Daphnia pulex: one gene and its partners. The main gene of each other region encodes a partner of the protein of the gene in region 6 in a complex. Links are inferred from orthologs where the notes say so. Each region holds a gene or a part of one and is shown on either strand. Other genes may lie near its edges. The genes, in order: U6 snRNA-associated Sm-like protein LSm8, U6 snRNA-associated Sm-like protein LSm7, U4/U6 small nuclear ribonucleoprotein Prp4-like, thioredoxin-like protein 4A, probable small nuclear ribonucleoprotein G, U6 snRNA-associated Sm-like protein LSm4 and U5 small nuclear ribonucleoprotein 40 kDa protein-like.

Region 1 (2,284 bases), on a different chromosome or scaffold from region 6:
CTGGGCCTGAAAAAGAGCTTTAGTATCTATCAGCAAATTAAGATTGTCAACTACGTCAGGAGACAAGTGCATGAAAAGAAATGCATACTTTGCGATGAGCAGTTTGAATCCCGGGATAAACTGAGAGAGCACATGCAAAACTTCAGTCACTTTAAACTTCCCGATCGGGCAGTTTGGGATCAGTCACAGTAAGCCGGATACATTCAAAATTTTCTATTTGTGGATCCTATTTTATTGGATAAACTTTTAGGTACTACTTTCCAACCTATGAAAATGATGCTCTTCTTTGTTTGCTAGAAGATACCATTCCAGATGATTCTACTGAAACCGACCAAGTAAATTATATTAAGTCTGATTTTTATTAATGTAAAAACTTGTTTTCATGATTTTTCATTTAATTAGGTAACAGTGATCCCTGAAGACACCATCATAAACCTTAAAGTAGTTGAAGAAGAACTGCTTAAACTAGAGCTAATTGTAAAAAAATGAATGATTCTACAAAGCTGTAAAAAAGATTGTATTTCAAGTGATCATGATGGAATAATGCAAACTTTAATGGTGGATTTGAGCTAGTGGTTCTGCTCTTATTTCTGATAAATTGAGTCTGGAATCAAGTTCATTATCAATTTCCCCAATTAAAACTCTGAAATTACAACAAGAAATAGTTATGATTGAGTTATTTTACAGCTAATAAGTGGATGAAACATACACATTGTCTCCTCTGATGATGTGCAGTCCCAGTTGGACTTGTTCAACTCCCTGGGTAGAACTAAACACTCTCTCATGACTGTCGTCAATGATAAGGTTGATAGTCTGATCGAATCCTTTAAGAATACCCTGTAAAAAGAATACATTGAAATTATTTCAAACGGTTTATTGAGTGAGGATGATGCCTTGTGATCGGGCGTTACAACTTACAATAAAATTCCTCCCATCACTCGTGATAACACATACGGAACCTGCGAACAAGAAAGATACAATTTTTCAGTGAATAATAAACAATATAATAATTAAAACTCACGATTAACGTAAGAATCTAACGTTGATGCCATGATTTCTTCACTCGCTTCACTTTGTATTTGGCTTGTAAAAATCGTCTGCAATACAGCGTTGCCGTTTATTTTACTTTAATATCAACAAAGTATTTTCATTCATTCTATTCAGATTTAATTCATACAAACTGTAGTAAACTTATGTTTCAGTGATTAATGATTTCGATAGAGTAATATAATTTTTGTTTATGTATGGAAATTGGTTATTTGAAAAAGACTAAAGAAATCGAGAAGGGGTGCCTGAGGCTATTTTCCCGAGACGTTAATCAAATGGTTGGTGAGGAGAAGAACTCAGCAGGCTAGAGTTTTGATGAATCGTTTTCTTTGGCCATCAAATAAATTTGAAAATCAGATAGGCCCTACATTTCCATTATGCGGTATAATTCTTTATTTGGTCGGTTTTGAGGTATTAACATTAAACGAAATAATATATTAGCGTGACTAACCCCAGCCCAATTTTGTTAAATCTATTTATTTTAAATATACATGTCCATTAAATAAAGTACCGTCTGTCATTTTTAATGACATCATTTTTTACATTTGATTGCAATCAAAACGAAATATGGCATGTCACGTACACACACGCAAACGTCGTCTGCTCTTTGCAGAAAATTGCCGATTTGAAATATTTTGATGTCCGACTTTTAATGGTTGAATATTTTAGCATCGAGATATGGTGCTTTATCTGGTCAATATTCGTGCAGTTTTGAAGCGCGCAATTCCTTTAAGTGCTACTTGTTCCCATTCAAGAAGCACATGCTCAACTCCCGCAGAGACCCGCGGGATCTCTCCAAATTTAGAATTCTCTCCCGACTGCGATGAAGCGACGAGGCAAATGCTTGAGAAAGACTTTCAAGTCTACAAAGATTTCATCAGTGCTGAAGAAGAGAATAACCTATTGGAAGAGTTGGAGGTGAAGTTCAAAAGGTCCCGGTATCAGTATGACCATTGGGATGATGTAAGTCTGAAATTTCGTGTTCACGTAGGTTGTCTGACTGTTGAATGACCACCATTTGTTATTCGAAACCCAAAAGGCTATCCACGGATACAGGGAAACAGAGAAACCTACTTGGAATCAAGTCAATGACTGTGTTATAAATCGGTTGAGAGCTTTTGCCTTTTCAACTACCACGATGCAGCATGTCCATGTGCTTGATTTAGCTGAGAATGGTCACATCAAACCACATCTGGACAGCATAAAGGTATGATAGATGACAGCGTTTGGAAATTAT
Region 2 (2,770 bases), on a different chromosome or scaffold from region 6:
GTGGACATCCGCCCGTCTATTTCCATCACTGCGCCTTGGTCAACGACATTCTCAGTCTAGAATCGCAGCTGGACAAATTGCACCAGTGCCAGTTGCAGCACGACTTGAGTAACAATGGCGAGGCGGACATTTCTTCGTCGCCAAGTCAACGTTTCGTCACCATGAGCGACCATTCACCGGGTATCAACCGCTGTCGACTCACTTTCAATTGTTTGTTTGTTTTTTCTTAATTTTGATTTCTTATTCAGGCCAACCTGGAAGTCAGGTGACGCTGAGCAGCTTCCACCCGTTCGTCCAGCAACAAAACGATTCTGCCTTGTCATTCGGCGAGTGGGAAATTGTTCCTTCGCCCGTCATTTCCGGCTCCACACTCCGTTCGACTGGAAGTCGGGCCGTCGAAGCTGAATTCGATTCCGACTCTTTTGTCACCGATTGAGATTTGAACATCAGTTATTATCATTGCCTTTAGAATTTTCCTCTCGATTCATTTCACGTTGTCCAGTTCGTTTGACGGCCGAATGTTGTGACATTCACACAGAAAGATGAGACGGTGCCTCTCCAATTTTCCTACACTTAAAAGTACATAAATATGAATTCGACCTTCGTAGGCTCTTTTCTAATCGCCTTCTAAAAATATAATTCTGTTTTGCATTACTGCTATATAATTGCATAAAAATTGAATCATTTATTCAAATCATCGTATTATTATCATTGTCGATCCGTGTTCTTTTACCTATCCGTTTTTTTGAAGGATTTTAATAATATTATTATACTATTTCACCTTTTTCTCGTTCTTTTATTATTGGAAAATTGGGAAACAACACACAGACAAATGATCATTGGTTCAATTTAGAAAAAAAAAATCAATTATTCTGGTTGAATGAAAGGGTTGGCAATGGCTTCCATACCGTCAGCAGGGCAGATGAGAACAACAGCTGTTCCACGACAAACCACCAAGCCCAACTGTCTGGTGTCTTCTGACAACTTGAATGAATCTTCCGAATCTAGAAATACAAGACATAACAGGAATTTTAAGTCAATCTTGTTTCACATACAATTTGTGGTAGTTCTCAAGTCTTACCTCTTAGATATTCTACCGTGTTGTCCAGGACAATGTTGAGTAGAGGATCGTAACCTTTAAGTATACCAGCTGCCTCTCTGCCTCCGGTAAACTTGACTCTGATCAACTTGTCCATGTAACGGGACAAGTCCAAGATTCTTTCCTTCTTCTTCTCCTTTAAATCTGCTGGGCTACCTGTTGCCGGTGTGGATTTATCGACCTTTTGCTAAAAAGAAAGGAAATGAATAACGTTATTAGCAAAACCCAGAATGATGTAATTCTAAAGCAGTAGCCAATAAAAGCCATGAGTGACGTGACGCATTGCTATTAATTGTACCCAATTTACGACAGGCAGATCAATGTTTTTCAGACATTATTCATAGCTTAAATATATTCAGTGCTTGTCATTTCATGTCTTGGGATTATAGACCACTAATTCATTTAGTAAATTAAATACTTACGGCTGCCATTTTTGCCGTTTGGGTTTGGTGTACAGAAAACAATAGAGTCGTCTGCAATGTTGTAAAAATCAAAATCGGAATAGCGCAGCACCGGTGCCAAATATTGATTTCAATGAATATTTTAACCACTCTTTTTTTCAAATCTTTTCTTTATAATTATTTTTCCATTCATTGAATATTTTAGATGGCGTTTTTTTTTACTGTGGATTTATTGAAAGCCTCATCAGTTTGGACCGGAGATGGACTGGCAACGGTCCCACATTTGCAGGCAATATGATGAGTCAAGTTTCGATGTAACTCTGCTTGATTTGAATTCTATAAGACGAAATCAGATTACTTGATACTATTCCGACACTGTATTGGTGTTCATGAGGAGCTGGTCAATTTATTGAATGCCAACAACAAAAAGAACAATACGATATTTGATAGATTCCTATCACGATTCCCTCCACTCATCTTAGTCGTCGCGGCCTGACAATCTGAAAAGAACGATTCTTTTGATATTTCAAATTTTCTGTCTATCTACACCGAACAGTAAACGAGTTTTTTAAATGGGAAATCTTTTTTCTTCAGGTTAAAATTGAACTGATCCTGGATAGTAGCCTGCTCTGCTGTATCGTTGAGTCTGATCCTGCCAGCTGCCACTTTTGAATAATGGAATCCAATTGAGTCCAGCCAATCACTTTGTCTTGGGGTAAGTGTCAATCAAATGATCTACCATTCCTTAAGGTTAAAAACTGTAAGAGAAAAATGTTACATGTCATTAGATAGAGACTTTCATACTGTCAGCTTACAAGTTACAGCAGAGGTGGCAGATAGAGGTGTGATTCTGTATTAAAGTCAAGATCACTCTTAACGTGACAATTAAACAGGAGCAAATAAGGTTATGGCCATGTTAGAAAATCAACAATTTATGGCGATAAGGTTAAGGCTGTTTCTGATGTCGGCTGGTTTTCTGTTTGAGTTGGGCTAGTGTCGCGTTCCCGCAGCATTTTGTTGATTTCTTTAACCCACCAAAACAATGCGAAACTGGTAAGAGTCGTCACAAACTGAATGATCCAGTAAAGCCTTATTATATCCCAATCATCGCCTTTGCTCAAACTTTCCATCCACAGGATCATAAGGATCACATTCTCGCACAAGCAGACCTATGACCCCATCAAATCGATAATATAGTTAAATGCATAAATTTTTTAAATCAAGAATTGTTAACTCACCGACTGATACATGGCAGGTGAGAATCGAGGGT
Region 3 (3,873 bases), on a different chromosome or scaffold from region 6:
AAATCAGACATGACACATTGATACGTTATAATGTAGAAATGTCGAACAAAAGTTTTCAAGAAAGTTCTTGCTTTGGAATTAGATTGAAAAGAAACGGCGTCCGAATTTTGTTTGGGTCCGTGCCGGCAGAACCCAATTTTACCCAGTTATGGAATCCATGGAGCAAGGCAATTCCCTGGTTAACGTTTTTATCGCATCCACTACTTTCAAGTAAAAAGATTGCAATTCTGTTAATCATTATTCGATGGATGTTAACTCTTATTTTTACCTATGAATTTTAGCTGAACACACGACTCCTGCTATATTCGACGTTAAAGATTTTACAGTCAACCTACAGCGAACTTTGCAAAACGAGTACCAGGGTTTAGTTGAATACAAGCCAATTATAATGAATTCGTATTTAGGGCTTCCAGCATTAGTACACAACTACAGTCAATTCGGATTTTACAAAGTACGAGGGAAAGTAAGTTTTTAATACTCCACCCAATCTTCCCAACCAATAGGCTTCAACTTTTTTGTATTTAATTTATTAATGTTTTCGAAGTCCAATACACAAATAAAGAAATCAAACAAGCATGGTCGTCTTCGAAGCTGCACTCTATACTTCTACATTTATTCAGGGGACCAAAGCTTGTAAGTGCGATCGTACGAGGCTGTGGCGATGAACGACCCGTCAGGCGATACATCAACTGCCATAACCTGTAACAATAAAATAAAAAAATTGAGAAACACATCACAAACGTATCTGATTAAAAAATTTACTTTTCCGTCATGTCCCGAAAGGGTTTTCAATGGTTGCCAAGTGTTACTCGCCCATATCTAGGGCAGAAAATTATTTCAAATATATATAGATGACAAATGTAACATTTAAAGAATGCAGAAAGAAAATCTATTAATGATTATTCATACCTTTGCGGTACAGTCATATGAAGATGAGACAATATACTGTCCGGAACTTCTTTCGAATTTCACGCTCGACACTAAATTTGTGTGTGCAGGAATAGTATAGATACAGGATCTCTTACGTAAATCCCATATTTTACAGGTATTGTCTTCACTTCCAGTTACTATGTGGTAGCCATTAGGTGATATATCGATGCCCAAGACACCTTTTAAATGACCTTCCATAAACATGATGCAGCGCCCAGTTCTGAGGTCCCATACTCGACCAAAAGAGTCCATGCCACTAGAAAAAATTCCACATGTAATTAAAATATTATGTTAACATATTTTTAGGTGTTGGTACCCTGTGATAGCCACTGAACCATCAACATTGAATGCTATGTTGTATACAGGTTTGGAATGCCCTTCTTGATGAAGAACTTCTACACCCTGTTCTAGATCCCATAGCCTCCAGGAATTATCAAAAACACATGTAGCTAAAAATCTTCCAGAAGGATGAAATTCAACTTTTGACACTCGATGCGGAGCATGTCCTTCCATATCAGCAATCGGCTCTTCACTTTCTAAATTCCACAATTTGACTGCGCCGTCCATGGAACATGAAGCCATATTTAATTCTGAAGGTTCTAAGCTCAAGGTGGCTTGTGGATGGAAGACTATTGCTCCAACACTACACTTGTGGCCTCTCAATGAATGAGACAAAGTGCAGTCAGGTACATTCCACAATTTACACAGGCCACTCCTAAAACATGAATTGTTTTTTATTATCTGATTAACTCTCTTACAATCTCAGAATATTTAATACCAGGAGGCAGTGGCCAACAAATTTCCACTTGGGCTGAATTGGCAATATGATATTGGTCTTCCATCACCAACTTGGCTGCACATGATGTTCATACCTCTCATCCGTTTCACCATTTCCTGCCTGGAAAAGAAAAAATATATTAATTGGGATGTGCTTTCATAACAGAGCATATTTCAGACCTTTTGGCTGTTCTTGTTGATTCTGGTATTTCAGATTCAAGTTTCACATTAGATAACCTTTGTTTTGCTCTGGGGAGGGAATAATATGCTAACCACAAACGAGCAATTTTGAGTGATTCAGGACCTTCATGATACCAAGTGGTTTCAGTTTGATCTTTCTCAACCTTCACAATTTCTTTTTCATCTTCTTTTTTTCTATCGATCAAATCATGTCCATGAACCGAGAGTAACTCTTTTAATCTATTTCGGCGATCAGCAGGTCCTTCACCAAAAAGGGTTATTGGTTCACCTAATTGCCTAAGATGTTTCCGAATTTCCCCATCGTCAATTGTGATAGCGAAACCGGTTGTGGACGACATGTTTAAAGAAATGTGTTTTCTAATTGAACTTTTCCTGTTTTGATCTCAATGTTTAAATATTATAGACACCGACACCTCGTTTTGTCACGTTTTTGTTGTCAATACGATCGTTCTTAAATCTTAAATAGACTTTTACAAGCCAGACGACTCCCAAACGAAAAGCGACTTACGGTATGAAAAAATCATGTGCAGCATACAGAGCCACTGGTGGAAAACTGGAAAACTATGTTCCATGTACTCATTCTTCGGATAATAAACTGCCGCTCGCAAAAGAAATTTTAAATTATGATGTGTGATTTATTACACTACCTAATATACAAAACAGCCAGTCTGAATAATACCTGAATACTGAATCTTCGGTTTATATTACCAATTTGTGATTTCGATTAGAAAAAAATTATTCGCACTCATAGTGCAGCACATGCCCATCTGGGATTTTTTTCCAAAAATGATTTTGTTGCAACCTATAAAATTGAGGTTCAGCTCAGCATACAGTTGTTAATAGCATAAAATGCCTGATATGCGATCGATTACACATGCAGCAGACTGTGTAACAGACTGTGTAACAGGCCAATTTGGTGTACGGAAACATTAGGGAGTATACTAGGCCTAGTATAGGGACATAACCAAAAATGATGTTTGAAATATCAGATTGTCAGTTCAAAATTTGGTTATCCATTTTATGCATCTAATTTTAGAAAACTGTATAATAACTACAAAGAATTGTTCTTAATAAAGATCTGTATGAGAGGGAAAGGAATAAAGGATGTATTCTATTAACGCTTTAGATACAGAAATTTTATATTCTTAGTATTTCGTAGGATTTCCGGATATAATTATACATGCTTAAACACGGCATTATTTATTGGAATTTGGCAATTTGCAAAGAGACACAAGACACCACACAGACTAAGATTTGAAAACCTGTCGGATCCTTCCGCCCTTGCCGCTATTGAGTGTGTGGGCCGGTCTTTAGCTCCGGGCGTCATCTAGTTGGAGCTTGGTTAGTCAAAAGCACTGGCATAGGAAAACTGATCGCTTGACCGGCCTTCAATAATACAAGGCAGACACACTCAAACAAGCATTTTATATTTTGGAAGTTTGCAAATTTCAGGTGGAAACTATTTGGTTACTTTCAGCATGGCTGCTGGACCTGTTTCAGAAAGAAATCAAGGTAAGAAATTTAAGTTTATTATGCACTAAAATGAAATGACTATGTGAAATTTTTATCATTTTCAGATGCTACCATTTATGTTGGTGGGTTAGACGAAAAAGTTACGGAGCCCTTGCTGTGGGAGTTGTTCGTTCAAGGTGGTCCTGTAGTAAATGTGCATATGCCTAAAGATCGGATTACTTTACTGCATCAAGGATACGGATTCATAGAATTCCTCAGTGAAGATGATGCTGACTACGCATGTAAAATTATGAACATGATAAAGCTGTATGGTAAACCCATTCGGGTAAACAAAGCATCAGCACACCAGAAAAACTTAGATGTTGGAGCAAATATTTTCATTGGAAACTTAGATCCTGAAGTTGATGAAAAACTTTTGGTAACCAATCAGCATTCCTTTAGGTTCAAAACACAATTTAATCTATTATTGCTTTTTTAGTATGACACATTTTC
Region 4 (2,549 bases), on a different chromosome or scaffold from region 6:
GGTGCACACGGAGTTCAATAAGTACAAGTTCGTTGTTGGACGGCCACCGGCTGTAAACACCTGTTATCCTCTTCACTTTATGGTACTTTCATGGGGATCAGCACATTCATAAGTAAAAAGTTTTGATGTCTTCACTTAGGGGTATATGACACATTGTTCTAACCGAGCTATTGAAACGGTTACATTCATTTAATCTGACGGGGCGAAACAAGAAACAGGCAGGAAACAGACTGCCGCCATAGTGTCGAGCACCTAGTGGCTTAAGTTTAAACTAAATGGACATGTCACTCTATCTCGAGTTCTTTTTGGGAAGTATTCGTTACCTGCTAATAACTACGTACGGTATACGTAAAATATAAAATAATTGAAATAAATTTTCATGGTAAGTTAAATCACTGTTCGGAAACCTAACCGTAAGTAATATAATGTAATTGTTGTAACGATTGTTGTACGATGTGTTTACTTGATGGTCAATTTATGAGACAAACAATTTATGAAAATGGGGATTCAAAAGTGTCATCATTTATTAGTTTTTAATCCAGTGTCATTTAATTGAACAACACAGTTAATAGCGATATTTGGTAGAATAATCTTTCGGTGAAACAACCAAACCTCGACCTTTTCTGGCTCCACGATAGACTGTTTCCACAATGTCAATCATTTCTTGTTTATCTTCTATTGCCCAGTTGATTTTATTGTTGTTACCAGTGCCTAAATCTATCATAATGTGTTTGTTACGGAAGAAAAACATGTTTGTGCAAGGATCATACAACTCGTACCTATATAGAAAAACAGTGAAAATCATTATTGGGATTCATTCATACAATGTAAATATGAAATTACATCTTATTGAAGTCAGGAACTTGGGTGATATCCACTAAATAGATGACAGCAAAGTTCTTGACTTTCTCTGCAATTTGATAAAGCACTTCATCCATTTTCATGCAAGTTGGGTCCCAATCATGACCAAAACGAATAACCTGTAGTAAAGCATGTTTAAATTGATAGTAATATTAACTAGAGAAAGTTTGATTTACCACTAAACGGTCCTCTTCTGAAAGAATTGCTTGATCTACTTGCCAACCATTAACAAGATGCTGTAACATGTAAGACATATTGTTTGATTGATAAAGGTCGTGAAAAAAGAAAAAGCTGAACAGTGCTTAGAAATAGATCTCGCTTCACGTTTTCAAACCTTTCCTTTCAGAAACCCGAAAAAGGTAAATAATGCGTCTGTCAACTTCACGAGTAACACGACATCTGTGTGTGAAATTTTCATCCACTTTCTTTACAAATTCATTCCCAACTCCCAAGGAATATAAACATATTTAACAGTATAAAAATGTGTATAGTTAACTATAAAATATTTAAAGTTTTACTAATAAAACATTTTAAAAGTAAAATAAAATTTATTTCTAATAAGGGATTATTCTTAAGATCTGGCAAGTGGCAATACTTTCGAATTCCCCCCCTGGCCCCCTTCCTCTTATCATTTGTTTTCAATTTTTCGTTCAGACTTCATGGCACGGGGTCGCCTTCAGAAACCCGAAAAACCAGTTGTGCTTTTACGTAAAATCAAATCTCTTTTTACATAACCTGTTGAAAACCGACTATGCTTTCAATCTAAACGAATTAATAACTCAGCCATTCCTTCAAGATAGCCAATAGTCTCAACACCGGCCATGATCACAATAAGCATTGTTATTACCATCTTTATTTTGTTGAGCATGAGTTCCATTCTTGGTATTCTTGTGTTTGTTGTTGATACTAAGTGGATACCAAAGATTATAATTGATCTCTACTCTTATGGGAAAAGTTGTGAAGGTAAGGTATTTGGCAGTTCAATCAGAACTATCCTTATTCCGAAGAGGTATTAAAGTTACTACTGCTGATTCCTTTACAATTAAAATTAAAAATTTATTTTAATCTGCTAAATTAAGTTGGTTTACACACTTTTATGTGTTTGGAGTATTCTATACATTCCTGGTTCTCATAACAATGATGTGGAAGATTGTGTTGAAGAATCAATTATCTACGCTTGTAACCTCATACATTAGTTTTGTATCACCATACACTCACAATCCTTTAGGTAACTGAACAATTTTAACAAAATTTTATTCATTCTGTATTGTTAAAATATTGTCTATTTATAAAGCTAGCCCTGAGTTATCACTATTAGCTGCTGTACTTTTTTTCCTGCAAACATCCAGGAGGTTGTATGAATGTTTGTGTGTCACTGTTTTTGCTGATTCAAAAATGAACCTTGGCCATTATTTAGTTGGCTATCTACATTATTGGGGGTGTGCCACTGTCATACTTTCATACTCAGCTGACTATTCCAGTACAAATGGTAGGTGTTACCAACACAATATTTTCCCATTACATGATAATCTTTTCTTTAATTTATTGTTGAACAATCTAGATTTTGTATGGATACCAAATAGCAATGATATCCCTTTACAACCCATTTTTGGCATAATTTTGTTTACTCTTGCCTACTATCATCAATATATTGCACATGTATCCTTAGCAAATTTAAGGAAAGGTAA
Region 5 (2,416 bases), about 6.0 Mb from region 6:
GAACCGACCAGGCATCTATTGCTCTGCCCAGACCTAGTCACTCTCATGTTAATTTTTCGTCTATCAGAATATAGGCCCCACCCTTGTGTATCGTCTGGAGAGCATAGATGGCGTTCAACAATTCCGAGCTCAACAACTATCTAACCTTCTGGCAGTGGCGCTGAATTATGTTATTTATATATACCACATAATATAAATAAGGTAATAATATTACATGCACAATCTCTCATCGTGATTGACGTGATCAAGCTTAATTTGTTTAATTAGCGTCAATAAATGAAATCTTTCATTACCGAAAAATTGTTTTAGAATTCTCATTATTTTTTTACTATTAATTTTAATTTAACATTAATTTCCAGCCATTATATTTCTTCTAATGGTGTTTTATTTGCAACACTCCTTAATTTTCAGTTTATTTGTAACCTTTTCATTCTTAATTCCTCTCAACCCAATGCTAAGATGGCTAAGAAAAGAGTAATAAAGTGGAATGTTTTAAATAATTTACAATTTGGATGACATTTATTTTTCAGCAGTTAGGCTACATGATTCTTTCCAGTGCTTCCAACATTATAATTGAGTTTCCACGAACAACCTAAATTTACATATAAATAGTTAATGGTATTTGAATTTATGTATGCCATGTTAATTTTAAACATACCACCATCCCTATGTTATTTTTCGAACCATCTTTAACTTCTTCAACGGTTTCATCAATGACCAAGTTCATGAATGGATCAAAACCTCTCAAGATCCCAACAATGTTCCTACCACCATTCAGTTTCACTGTGAAAAACAATTCTTCAAAACAGTTTTCAATAATAATTTAACAAAAAAATAATACTTACAAGACATTCTTTTATCCATGTACCTGTACAAAAGAAGTAGAGATCATTATTAAAAATGTAAATATAACTTAAGCAACAATACATACTTCTTCAACTCTGGTGGATGGGCCTTGCTCATTTTGGTTTGAAATAACTAATATCTAATATCTACGTTGATGAATATATCACTAACTTCAAGCAACTAGGAAAAAACGTGATACACCAAGAAAGTTTGGATCGTTTTTAATGTCCGATGCGCGATGCCAAACGTTAGGAACGCGTGTTTGCCAGATATTGAATTTAGAAACTGGCGGCTTTGCGAGACCGGCGACGAGACCTGGCGGCTGGGCGCTGGCGCGCTAAGGAATTTTTTATACAGCTTGTGGCTTTTTTGCCTTATTAAAACAGGAAAAAAATTACGATCTTCAATTAATTGTATAAATTAGCAGCTACAATTCTGTAAGAAAATATTTTTTAGCAGTTTATTTCTATAGCAAAATGACTACCAATTACCTCAACTGGAATGGAAACTACACCAATATACTTTGAGCAAAAAAAAATAAACTGTGGAAGTTACTTTAATTAAATGTGTTTTTCTGTTGTTTTTTTCATTTTCTAGTTGATCTAAGAAACTTGTACTGAGATATTTGCACTCGTCCACAGTAATTCAGTGATTGACTCAAATTTACAGGCCCTTGTTGTAATAAACAACAGTTGGGGGATTCGGGGATTTTCGAATCTTTGCCTGAATTAAAAAAGAAAAGATGTATGTTAAAACAAGAACCACATTAAAACGCTATAAAAAATTACCTGTAGCTCTGGTTCCAGACTGTCAACCGAAATCGATGCTTTTTGAGGAAACAGGGCACAACACATTGGAGTAGCGAAAGTAAGTAATACGCCACCTGTAAGCCAAATAATAATACATAATTGGCCGTTTACAACTACATGATAAATAGTTAATGTTTCATACATAAAGTAACTTGAATAGGTGCCGCAGACCAAGGGAATCGCTTCAAGAAGCCCTTTCGATCCAAATAATTCATCAGCAGAGGTGGTAGGACTGCATATTATTGTGCTGGATGTTTTATTTTTATCAGATTACTATCGTATTACATGAATTACCCATTCCAGGAGAAGCCATTCCGATACGACTAAGGACAACTTGAGTGATACCCCATTTGGCAGCAATCGAAGATTCACCGAGTACATTTCCGTTCTCATCAGAAACTGAGATTCCCTTTTGAATTTCACTAAAAAATCAGTCGTATTTTAAAGCATTAGTTATCTTATGCGACGAGAAAATGTTTATCTTACTGCATTCGCATCAGAGGAATATTTACACAGTTAGCGGCAGCAACAGCTGCAAAGGGTACCAAACGCCCAATAATAGGAGACATTGACTAAAAATTAATTTCTCATAAAGTTATTTACATTATGGTCCATTATATCAAGTTAATATTTTTGATACCTTGGTCAAGCTATTCAAACCAAGAGCAGTGACTAAAGCCCCACTTGTTGCCAGTGCATAAGATGTACCCAATTGTCTAAAAAATCAATAGATTATTATAACTTTCAGTGATTTATTTAAA
Region 6 (3,683 bases):
GGCGAATTTACTATTGCAAACGTCTGACAAATAATTAAGAACTAAATCGTAATTACGAGCTAATTGTATTTTACGTTCGAATGCAACTGAGCGAGAAAATGGAAGATGTATTATGGTGTCGCTCTAAAATTAGTGGTATGGCTTTTGCTTTTGTACTGAATTTGGTGAGCATTCAAGTTCAAAGTATCTATAACGCAGAAAGTATCTATAACAAACGAAAAACTTTCATGCTTCAAAATATGTATACACATTTGACATTTATTAAGCGCGCCGAACTTTCTGCAAAAACAAAACATTTGTTTTCATTCGTTATTAAAAATGGGCATCTGAATCTTCTGTGCTAACAACGATTTTCGCTGTCGCTTTGCCAGTTGGCAACGAACGATCCGACACATCCACTCTTACTACGCCGCACCTACTGACTTATGAAATATGCAGCAAAACAGCTGAAGGTGCAGCGTGTTATTACAAGTCCACAAGGGCTTCTTCTCTTCTAAATATTTCAGTTTCTTGGTGTATTTCAGCCTAAAGGTTTTATGGGCTTATTTTAAGCATGTAAAATTAATGTGAAGAGAAAGAATGAGATAAGTGCTTCCATCTTTTTATCAAAACAGAAAGCGTCTCGAATAAATCAAGACTTGGCCATATTTTTATTTTCATACATTCATTCTGACAAGTTTATTTACTTTCCACGGGGTTTATTATTGCCACCACCACCACCACCACCTCGTCCCGACGGCGCGCCTCGACCTCTTGAAGCACCAAAAGAACCTGATGGTCAACACAAGAATAATTTTATATCATATCAATAGGAATATGCATGCTCCATATTATACGTCAACGAAGCCTATATGTTTTAAAATAAAAATATTAAATAATAAAATTAAAATAATCCCATCGATTCAATCAATCATTAACTATTAATTTGAGTTTGACGCACATTCGTGTAGCTGCGATAAGCTAACGCTTAGTAAAAGGAAATAATGTAAGTTATAATAATGTACACGACTGAGAAACATTACCTAGGTAGTACTATACTTCATTAAACTGTAAACTTTTTTTGGAAGGTTAAAATAAAATATAAAAAAACGTGAAAAGATTAAATAATTAATTTTATAAATTCCTATTTTTAATTAATATTAAAATTAATTTATTATCAGTATTCAAGTAAGAGACGCGGCATGTACCTCTTGAAATAATAATCAATAAAAAACAAATTATAAACCTCTACATAGTAGATAGATTTCATTTTTAAACCATAAGAGCAGGCATTCCTGAATGTGCAGATAGGATGTTTAGCTATTCATTCGTCAAATGACACGAAACGACGTAATTTAAAAATAAAGCTACGATATACTGAACATGATTCTAGAATAATGAGATTAACAAGAAGTCAAACATACATTAGTTATTGTACAATCATTTGAGCATTAAGTGATTGTACTATATTTATCCCATTGGACCATTATCAGAAAATTTTGTATAATACTGTTATAACTTGGTACTTGTTCAATAATATTCATGACTAAAACAATATTAAGACTACGAATAAAATTGTTTTGTATACCCCATTAACTTAATTGATAATGAGTGAGAAAATTTTGGCATTTAAAACATACCTCTACTACCACCTCTGCCTCCTCTTTGGGCTCCACCTCTTCCTTTACCATCACTGCGACCACGACCTTTTGCAACTACTTCTTCCTTAACCATATCAATGACTTCATCTGGAATTCGAAGATATTTGATGGTACTGCCTCTAATGTAACACTCAGGCATTCTCCAAAATCTGTCACCATCCTAAAGAAATTGTATTTTTGTTCATTAAATATTATATGTAAAACCTTATGATCGTATTCAAGAATATCACTGACAGATACAGATGACGGAACTATCTTAAATGAAAGTACTTTACCTTGGAGGTGCAAATTACTTCTCGTAGATTGATGTTCATCCAGTTATCACAACTCACCAAGTGGCCATTGTAAGTCTCCCCATTTTTCAATTCCACTAACTGTAAATATTGAAACACTAGTTTTATTGCTGTAAATAACAAAAGTAAAAAATGCTTACCATGGGATGATTCTGGGCTGTACGTAGTAGCGACAAAGGTAACTAGATAAATAAATAATTAAATTAATCTTCGATGATTCGGTATGAAGCACAAAACTCAATAGTTACCATAATTGATTTAATATTATTGTTCTCGATATGTTCCAATTAATAATTAAGAAAAAGGTTTCTCCTAGGTTTTAAGTGGTTGGAAAATGGAAATCAAAGATCAAAGATTTATGAAGCAGAAACACCATCTATCGTGCGATCGGCCAATCCTTTACACCGCGCCACAGCGGGTGTGTTGGGAAATGTTATAAAATAGGCGGCTGTGTTCGGAACGGTTCCGAATGGACAAGATCAATCAGGACCAATAATCCATTAACGTATAAACCCGTAAAAACGTAACGTAAAATAAACCATTAACACTGCGCTGATCCTGAACGTTATTCGCGATACATCAGTAACACGTATTGTATTGACTATTGACGCAGCCGAATAGATCTTATTGCAATTCAAAAGTACGCGACATAGCCAAAAGTCGTGCGAAGCTTACGCCAATGCGTACCACTGTGGCGTATAGCCGAACTAGAAATTATTTTATGCTTGACTAATCCTATACTCCCTCCTATACGACAGAGGATAATTATAGAACTTGAATTAACCTTAATTAATTTAATCTAGTTACCAATTGATCTCATCTGGACGTGGAGCAAAATCAACGGACCAACGGTGAGGCTTAAAGATAACAATCAGGCTCGAGCTTTCTGGGATTGATCCACATCGCCAATTGGGCCTATGATCTTGGCTTACCCTCGCTGCTTGAATGTTTGAGGCGAAGGTTATAAAAGCTATTCCAACTGGTCGTTTGATAGCCTAAATGAATGGCAAAGTAGTGGTTACTAGATCACTATTCACTACGACATTAAATTATTTTAAAAAATATACCTTCAGTTTTTCTTGATCAATAAGTGACGCAAGTTGCCTTTCTTCGCTCGTGTAATATATACCCCCTATACGACGGAATTTCCGTCGTATAGGAGGGAGTATGGCAGGGAAATCATCTTTATTGCTCTGAGGTGTGTAAAATAATGTACTCTAGACCTAGATCAAGTATTGGTGGCACCAATGGTGAGAAACGGAAACGTACACTTAGTGTACAGAACAATAGCCAGAATTCTCTGACCGACATGTCGAGAGAAGACATGATAATATACTAATAAAGGATTTAAAAGAGGAAAGAGAGACGCTCATTCAAGAGAAAGAGTGCATTATCAGTCATACTAAAGAGATAGAAAGTGAGCTAACCAGCATCAAGGTTAAAATTGCAAATAGGTTCTTGAATGGGTTATTCGGTGATGGGCAGCCGACTAAGGAGAATGAGCCACCTAGTGGAATGGACTCGCAGCTAGGTAAATCCTATGCGGCAGTGGCCTCGAAGTCGGTCACCATCATTGCTAAGCTAGATCCGGATGTGGACACGAGCAATTTTATCGGTGATGCTATGGATGAGTTCTTTAAAAGTAATTCGGAGTATCTGACGCTGCAGTCTTTCACTAAGAGAGACAATATAGCTCGGTTTAAGTTTAATAACGACGCTGATGCCAAAAAGGCTAAACAGTTAATGGAAG
Region 7 (3,934 bases), on a different chromosome or scaffold from region 6:
CGATTAATTTAAATGCAATTTTGTAAATATGCGTAAAAGAATTATTTGTTTATTCGTCCTCGATCCTTGCCATCGTTTCAACTGAAAAAAATTATAACCTTTCCTAATTAAGCGTCAATTTCGCCTAGGTAAATCAGCTTGTCACTGGCACCGGATGCAACTATGTTTCATTCAAAATAAAAAATCTGAAATTAATTGATGTCCTTGATGTTGATTTGCTGCGTAAATTACCAATAGGTTCCTTAGGATGAAATACAACGTCATTGACACTTCCGTTGTGACCAGGTAATTTGTAAATGATGCGGCGAGATGTAGTGTCCCAAATGTAAACGAATCGGTCGGCAGATCCCGCTGAAACTTTGGTTCCGTCAGGTGACCATGAGCAGCGAAGTAAATTCTATAACATTACACAAGGTATTAGAATGGATTGAGAAATTCGCCGGCATTGTATATACCTTTTCAAAGTTGTGAGCATGGCCAACCATCATTTTGATACAACGTTCTTGAGGAGCGAAAGGTCGTACATCCCAGACACGTAAAGAGTTGTCCATCGAGTTTGACAACACGTAAGATCCATCAGGACTGAGAGTCAAGCCGGTCACAGTGTCGGAATGGCCCTTCAAGGAGTAGAGGAGAGCATTTTTTCTCAAGTCCCAGACCTAAAAAGGAAAGTGTATGATTTACCTATCTCTCCATATTCACGTGAATAGCTCAAGGCCAGGACCAGTTGAAATATCGCAAATGCAAAACTACTTTTCAGGTTTTAAAATGAATATCTTCCAAAAAAAGGAGAAAACTTAACATGGGTTTAGTTCGAACGAAAAGATAATCGATAAAAAGTGAAAATTATCTATTTTTCAGAGTAAATTCTTCCTAAAGATGTCGCAAAATTGTCATAAGTATTACGGGGAAAAGTTTTGATCGATAATGTGCAACCATCTGACAAGCAAAGAAGTATCAGAATCCGCTTCCAGCGTTTCACATTTGCCTCAAACTGACAAAACACAAAAATGCGCATCTTCAGTAATTAGGATGGAATTAGGACATTTGACGAGACCCTACTGCTGAAATTACTTGAATTAATTTTAAAAACTTCGCCTACGAGCTTACATTAGTGAACCCATTCATATATCAAAGAGAAGGGGCCCTGGAAGTAAGGAAGGACTTGGTGACCTTATCAAGGTGAGACACGCGATAATCAGAATACCAAAGTTGAAATCCCTTGCACTCTTCAAGGAAAATGAACTCGATGATAGGGTAAGACAGAACTTGCACGAATATGGTTCAATATTAAGTAGAAAACAATCAACAATGTCGAAACTTTAGTTTTTACAACAAAGACAGAATATGACTGCAGGTCCTTCCTTTTTTGCCAAACTATTCTCTTGAAGCCATCAAGTAAAAATACTGAGAACTTTAATCAATTCTGTAAGAAAAATACTCAAGTTTGTGACTTTCTCCCACTCACACGGAATATGAAGTTCGCCGAATCGGTGGCTTAATTCAAATTCTTGGAAATTGGTCCCATAGTTTTTCTTCTCTCTCTCTCTCTCTCTATTACAACAATTGAATTTTGCGAACTCACCTTAACATCGTTGTCGATGCCTGCGGAAATGACTTGTTCGGCGGTATCGTTGAAGGTGACGGAAGTCGCTTGGTAAGAATTATCTAATGATACTGTCTCGGTTCTTTTTCTTGGATCCCAGACTTTGATGTTGCAGTCATCTGAGGCGCTGCAGAGAAGAGGAGGTCCTCTTCGTGCAGGATGAATAGCATTGACAAAGGAGGAGTGGCCTGTTGAAACAAATTGTTGTTGGGTTCAATTGCTAAATAATGGGACAGTGACAATGGTATACCTTTCAGTTTCTTGATTTTAGCTCCTGTTCTGGTGTCCCACAAACAAATGGTTTTGTCTGTACTAGCAGTGTAAATGGTATCACCATCGGTAGACAGCTGAAGATCCATTACTGCTCCGGTGTGACCAGACAACACAGCAAAGTTTTCACACTCTCCATAAACATTCCACAAAACTGTTGAACAAGAGGTTGATTATCCAAACAGTAGAGATGCTCAAATGTATATATGATGCTTACATATTTGTCTGTCGAACCCGGTGGAAACCAAAAACTGGCCGTCAGGATGGAACTTCAGGCTAAAGATATCTCCAGGATGTCCTGCCAGGAGCATTATAGGAGCCATGAGGCTAGACGTTCTTGCTGGTCCCTGTTTATTGAAAAAGTCAATATCACATTTGAATTCATCATAGCATCTACAACAACAAAACACACAAGCTGGTCAGCATGTGGTTGGATGCAATTCTCTTTTGTGATGCATTCGGCTCATTTAAAAGTTTATAAATAAAACACAAATAAATCAAACCTGTTGCAGGGCCACTTGACCCGAGGTGGCCGACACCAATTCATTATTGCTGGGATTGTTTACTGACACAAGCGCCATTGCTCCGGCTTCTAGACTTTTAAGAAAATTTTCAAGTTGTAGAAAAAAAAAGTGAAAAAGTTTTGACAACTACTACTGACGGAGCAGAAGCCTTTTCTTGCTAGATCTATATTTTATAGTGGTCGCCTTTTCCAAATCTTGTTGGAAACTTGGAAAGACTTTGGTATAATAAAAGAATAAAAATTGAGATGGGGAAAAGCTGTCACAGTGGTATATCGCTCAAGAATTTCCGAACCCTTTTTCTCTTTCTTTTTTTGGGAAAAAGAAGTTGTAACTCGAGGAATTTCATGAACACCCGCGCAGTCTTGGAAAACAATGGGTATTATTGGGGCCGGAAAACAGGCGAACCCACGATCGTAAAAAAAGAAAAGGAGTGTTAGAAGAAGGAGGGAGAAACAACAAACATTAAATCTCTCCCCTCGATATTTTCTTAAGTTTTGTGTGTCCGTGTGACTATAGAACAGAGGACCTTCTAGTTTTTTAACACTCGCAAGAAAACGACTTCACCAGTATATGTGATAGTCGCTATGTCTGGGATTTCTTTTCCATTCCAACGAAATTTGGTGCGTCGGAAAGAACAAAACTAGTCTCTCGAGATGAAGATATTTTGAGCGCTGAATCCATGACCTAAATTGAGTCATTCATTTTTTCCCAACATGATGAGGAAATGATGAGATTGATTTTTGTTTTTCCTTTTCTTTCCCGTGTGTGTGGTTTACATTCGTCCGTATAATTTCCACGTCTATGTTGTTGGAGGAGAAAGTGGGGAGGAGCTGAAAACTGCCGCCAGATGGCAGAGTTTTTGGTACCCAATGGCGGCGGAGGGACACAAAGAAAAATCCAGTCCCTTCAGTTTAATGGCGGCTCTCGGCTGGTGTGTTTGATGATCTGGGCGTGAGTTGGGATCTTTTAATCCATTTCGGCCTTTGGTTACATCGAGAAGTGTCTCGAAATCACGCCAATTCCCGGCAACTCTTTTTGTTCTGTTGATATTTAACATTCCGTCCCCGAATCGACGAGTAAAACTCGGCCATCGTTTTGGCTTCACCAGTGAACTGTGTGGTTGAGTGCGCGCCTGTGAGAGAGAAGAAGTGTGAAAGAAAGAAAGAAAATGCCCAGCCTGACCTGAGAGCATCACCGTCTGTGTTTAGAAAATTAGAAAAACGGACAAAAGGCTGCAACTATCCTAATTTATTCGACCACGTTCTCCACTTTTGTATTGAAATAACACAAAAATCTTGGAAGAAAACTTTAGAAACGGATATCCGGCTCTTAAAATAAATAATACTGAAAAAATCTCTCTCTCCACCCTCTCACACACACGTAAGGCAGACTCTCAAACGCTCAGGAAATTCTCTCAAAAATGAATCCCAGAATACATATGGCGATTTTCATCGCCTTTTTGGCTGCACATTCGGTTAGCAGTAACATCAACAGTGCATCATCGGTTGCCAAGGTAAGAATGCCACCACTTTTT

Evidence for each region.
Region 1: U6 snRNA-associated Sm-like protein LSm4 (region 6) and U6 snRNA-associated Sm-like protein LSm8 share a complex: the UniProt entries of both Homo sapiens proteins name them as parts of the precatalytic spliceosome. The link is inferred for Daphnia pulex from reciprocal best matches to the Homo sapiens genes LSM4 and LSM8.
Region 2: U6 snRNA-associated Sm-like protein LSm4 (region 6) and U6 snRNA-associated Sm-like protein LSm7 share a complex: the UniProt entries of both Homo sapiens proteins name them as parts of the precatalytic spliceosome. The link is inferred for Daphnia pulex from reciprocal best matches to the Homo sapiens genes LSM4 and LSM7.
Region 3: U6 snRNA-associated Sm-like protein LSm4 (region 6) and U4/U6 small nuclear ribonucleoprotein Prp4-like share a complex: the UniProt entries of both Homo sapiens proteins name them as parts of the precatalytic spliceosome. The link is inferred for Daphnia pulex from reciprocal best matches to the Homo sapiens genes LSM4 and PRPF4.
Region 4: U6 snRNA-associated Sm-like protein LSm4 (region 6) and thioredoxin-like protein 4A share a complex: the UniProt entries of both Homo sapiens proteins name them as parts of the precatalytic spliceosome. The link is inferred for Daphnia pulex from reciprocal best matches to the Homo sapiens genes LSM4 and TXNL4A.
Region 5: U6 snRNA-associated Sm-like protein LSm4 (region 6) and probable small nuclear ribonucleoprotein G share a complex: the UniProt entries of both Homo sapiens proteins name them as parts of the U4/U6-U5 tri-snRNP complex. The link is inferred for Daphnia pulex from reciprocal best matches to the Homo sapiens genes LSM4 and SNRPG.
Region 7: U6 snRNA-associated Sm-like protein LSm4 (region 6) and U5 small nuclear ribonucleoprotein 40 kDa protein-like share a complex: the UniProt entries of both Homo sapiens proteins name them as parts of the U4/U6-U5 tri-snRNP complex. The link is inferred for Daphnia pulex from reciprocal best matches to the Homo sapiens genes LSM4 and SNRNP40.

Annotation. Positions count from the first base shown.
Region 1 is NC_060019.1:331,325-333,608, reverse strand, and holds U6 snRNA-associated Sm-like protein LSm8, read right to left. Parts: upstream 1,132-2,284; 5' UTR 1,053-1,131; coding exon 1,022-1,052; intron 960-1,021; coding exon 919-959; intron 838-918; coding exon 710-837; exon of another isoform or gene 644-709; coding exon 553-643; 3' UTR 501-552; downstream 1-500. Other genes in the region: zinc finger protein 277-like, read left to right, coding at 1-188, 251-335, 403-489; alpha-ketoglutarate-dependent dioxygenase alkB homolog 7, mitochondrial-like, read left to right, coding at 1,726-2,010, 2,087-2,254. UniProt on the Homo sapiens protein: Plays a role in pre-mRNA splicing as component of the U4/U6-U5 tri-snRNP complex that is involved in spliceosome assembly, and as component of the precatalytic spliceosome (spliceosome B complex).
Region 2 is NC_060025.1:134,869-137,638, forward strand, and holds U6 snRNA-associated Sm-like protein LSm7, read right to left. Parts: upstream 1,621-2,770; 5' UTR 1,531-1,620; coding exon 1,522-1,530; intron 1,287-1,521; coding exon 1,082-1,286; intron 1,005-1,081; coding exon 868-1,004; 3' UTR 501-867; downstream 1-500. Other genes in the region: myotubularin-related protein 10-B-like, read left to right, coding at 1-180, 249-436; XK-related protein 7-like, read right to left, coding at 2,433-2,669, 2,739-2,770. UniProt on the Homo sapiens protein: Plays a role in pre-mRNA splicing as component of the U4/U6-U5 tri-snRNP complex that is involved in spliceosome assembly, and as component of the precatalytic spliceosome (spliceosome B complex).
Region 3 is NC_060018.1:6,530,696-6,534,568, reverse strand, and holds U4/U6 small nuclear ribonucleoprotein Prp4-like, read right to left. Parts: upstream 2,387-3,873; 5' UTR 2,247-2,386; coding exon 1,888-2,246; intron 1,829-1,887; coding exon 1,709-1,828; intron 1,646-1,708; coding exon 1,247-1,645; intron 1,187-1,246; coding exon 910-1,186; intron 820-909; coding exon 763-819; intron 700-762; coding exon 613-699; 3' UTR 501-612; downstream 1-500. Other genes in the region: tumor protein p63-regulated gene 1-like protein, read left to right, coding at 83-210, 282-475; splicing factor 3B subunit 4-like, read left to right, coding at 3,387-3,420, 3,486-3,799, 3,860-3,873. UniProt on the Homo sapiens protein: Plays a role in pre-mRNA splicing as component of the U4/U6-U5 tri-snRNP complex that is involved in spliceosome assembly, and as component of the precatalytic spliceosome (spliceosome B complex).
Region 4 is NC_060018.1:1,947,566-1,950,114, reverse strand, and holds thioredoxin-like protein 4A, read right to left. Parts: upstream 1,248-2,549; 5' UTR 1,116-1,247; coding exon 1,038-1,115; intron 981-1,037; coding exon 844-980; intron 780-843; coding exon 566-779; 3' UTR 501-565; downstream 1-500. Other genes in the region: polyprenol reductase-like, read left to right, coding at 1,683-1,870, 1,941-2,089, 2,156-2,350, 2,423-2,545. UniProt on the Homo sapiens protein: Plays a role in pre-mRNA splicing as component of the U5 snRNP and U4/U6-U5 tri-snRNP complexes that are involved in spliceosome assembly, and as component of the precatalytic spliceosome (spliceosome B complex).
Region 5 is NC_060026.1:11,525,926-11,528,341, forward strand, and holds probable small nuclear ribonucleoprotein G, read right to left. Parts: upstream 1,122-2,416; 5' UTR 964-1,121; coding exon 932-963; intron 869-931; coding exon 846-868; intron 784-845; coding exon 659-783; intron 593-658; coding exon 539-592; 3' UTR 501-538; downstream 1-500. Other genes in the region: sideroflexin-1-like, read right to left, coding at 1,510-1,569, 1,635-1,729, 1,798-1,887, 1,950-2,077, 2,142-2,227, 2,296-2,371. UniProt on the Homo sapiens protein: Plays a role in pre-mRNA splicing as a core component of the spliceosomal U1, U2, U4 and U5 small nuclear ribonucleoproteins (snRNPs), the building blocks of the spliceosome.
Region 6 is NC_060026.1:5,482,078-5,485,760, forward strand, and holds U6 snRNA-associated Sm-like protein LSm4, read right to left. Parts: upstream 2,330-3,683; 5' UTR 2,185-2,329; coding exon 2,182-2,184; intron 2,116-2,181; coding exon 2,074-2,115; intron 2,015-2,073; coding exon 1,916-2,014; intron 1,801-1,915; coding exon 1,620-1,800; intron 772-1,619; coding exon 683-771; 3' UTR 501-682; downstream 1-500. UniProt on the Homo sapiens protein: Plays a role in pre-mRNA splicing as component of the U4/U6-U5 tri-snRNP complex that is involved in spliceosome assembly, and as component of the precatalytic spliceosome (spliceosome B complex).
Region 7 is NC_060027.1:3,204,468-3,208,401, forward strand, and holds U5 small nuclear ribonucleoprotein 40 kDa protein-like, read right to left. Parts: upstream 2,801-3,934; 5' UTR 2,458-2,800; coding exon 2,380-2,457; intron 2,224-2,379; coding exon 2,094-2,223; intron 2,031-2,093; coding exon 1,857-2,030; intron 1,795-1,856; coding exon 1,586-1,794; intron 660-1,585; coding exon 456-659; intron 398-455; coding exon 232-397; intron 161-231; coding exon 108-160; 3' UTR 28-107; downstream 1-27. Other genes in the region: syndecan-like, read left to right, coding at 3,821-3,913. UniProt on the Homo sapiens protein: Required for pre-mRNA splicing as component of the activated spliceosome. Component of the U5 small nuclear ribonucleoprotein (snRNP) complex and the U4/U6-U5 tri-snRNP complex, building blocks of the spliceosome.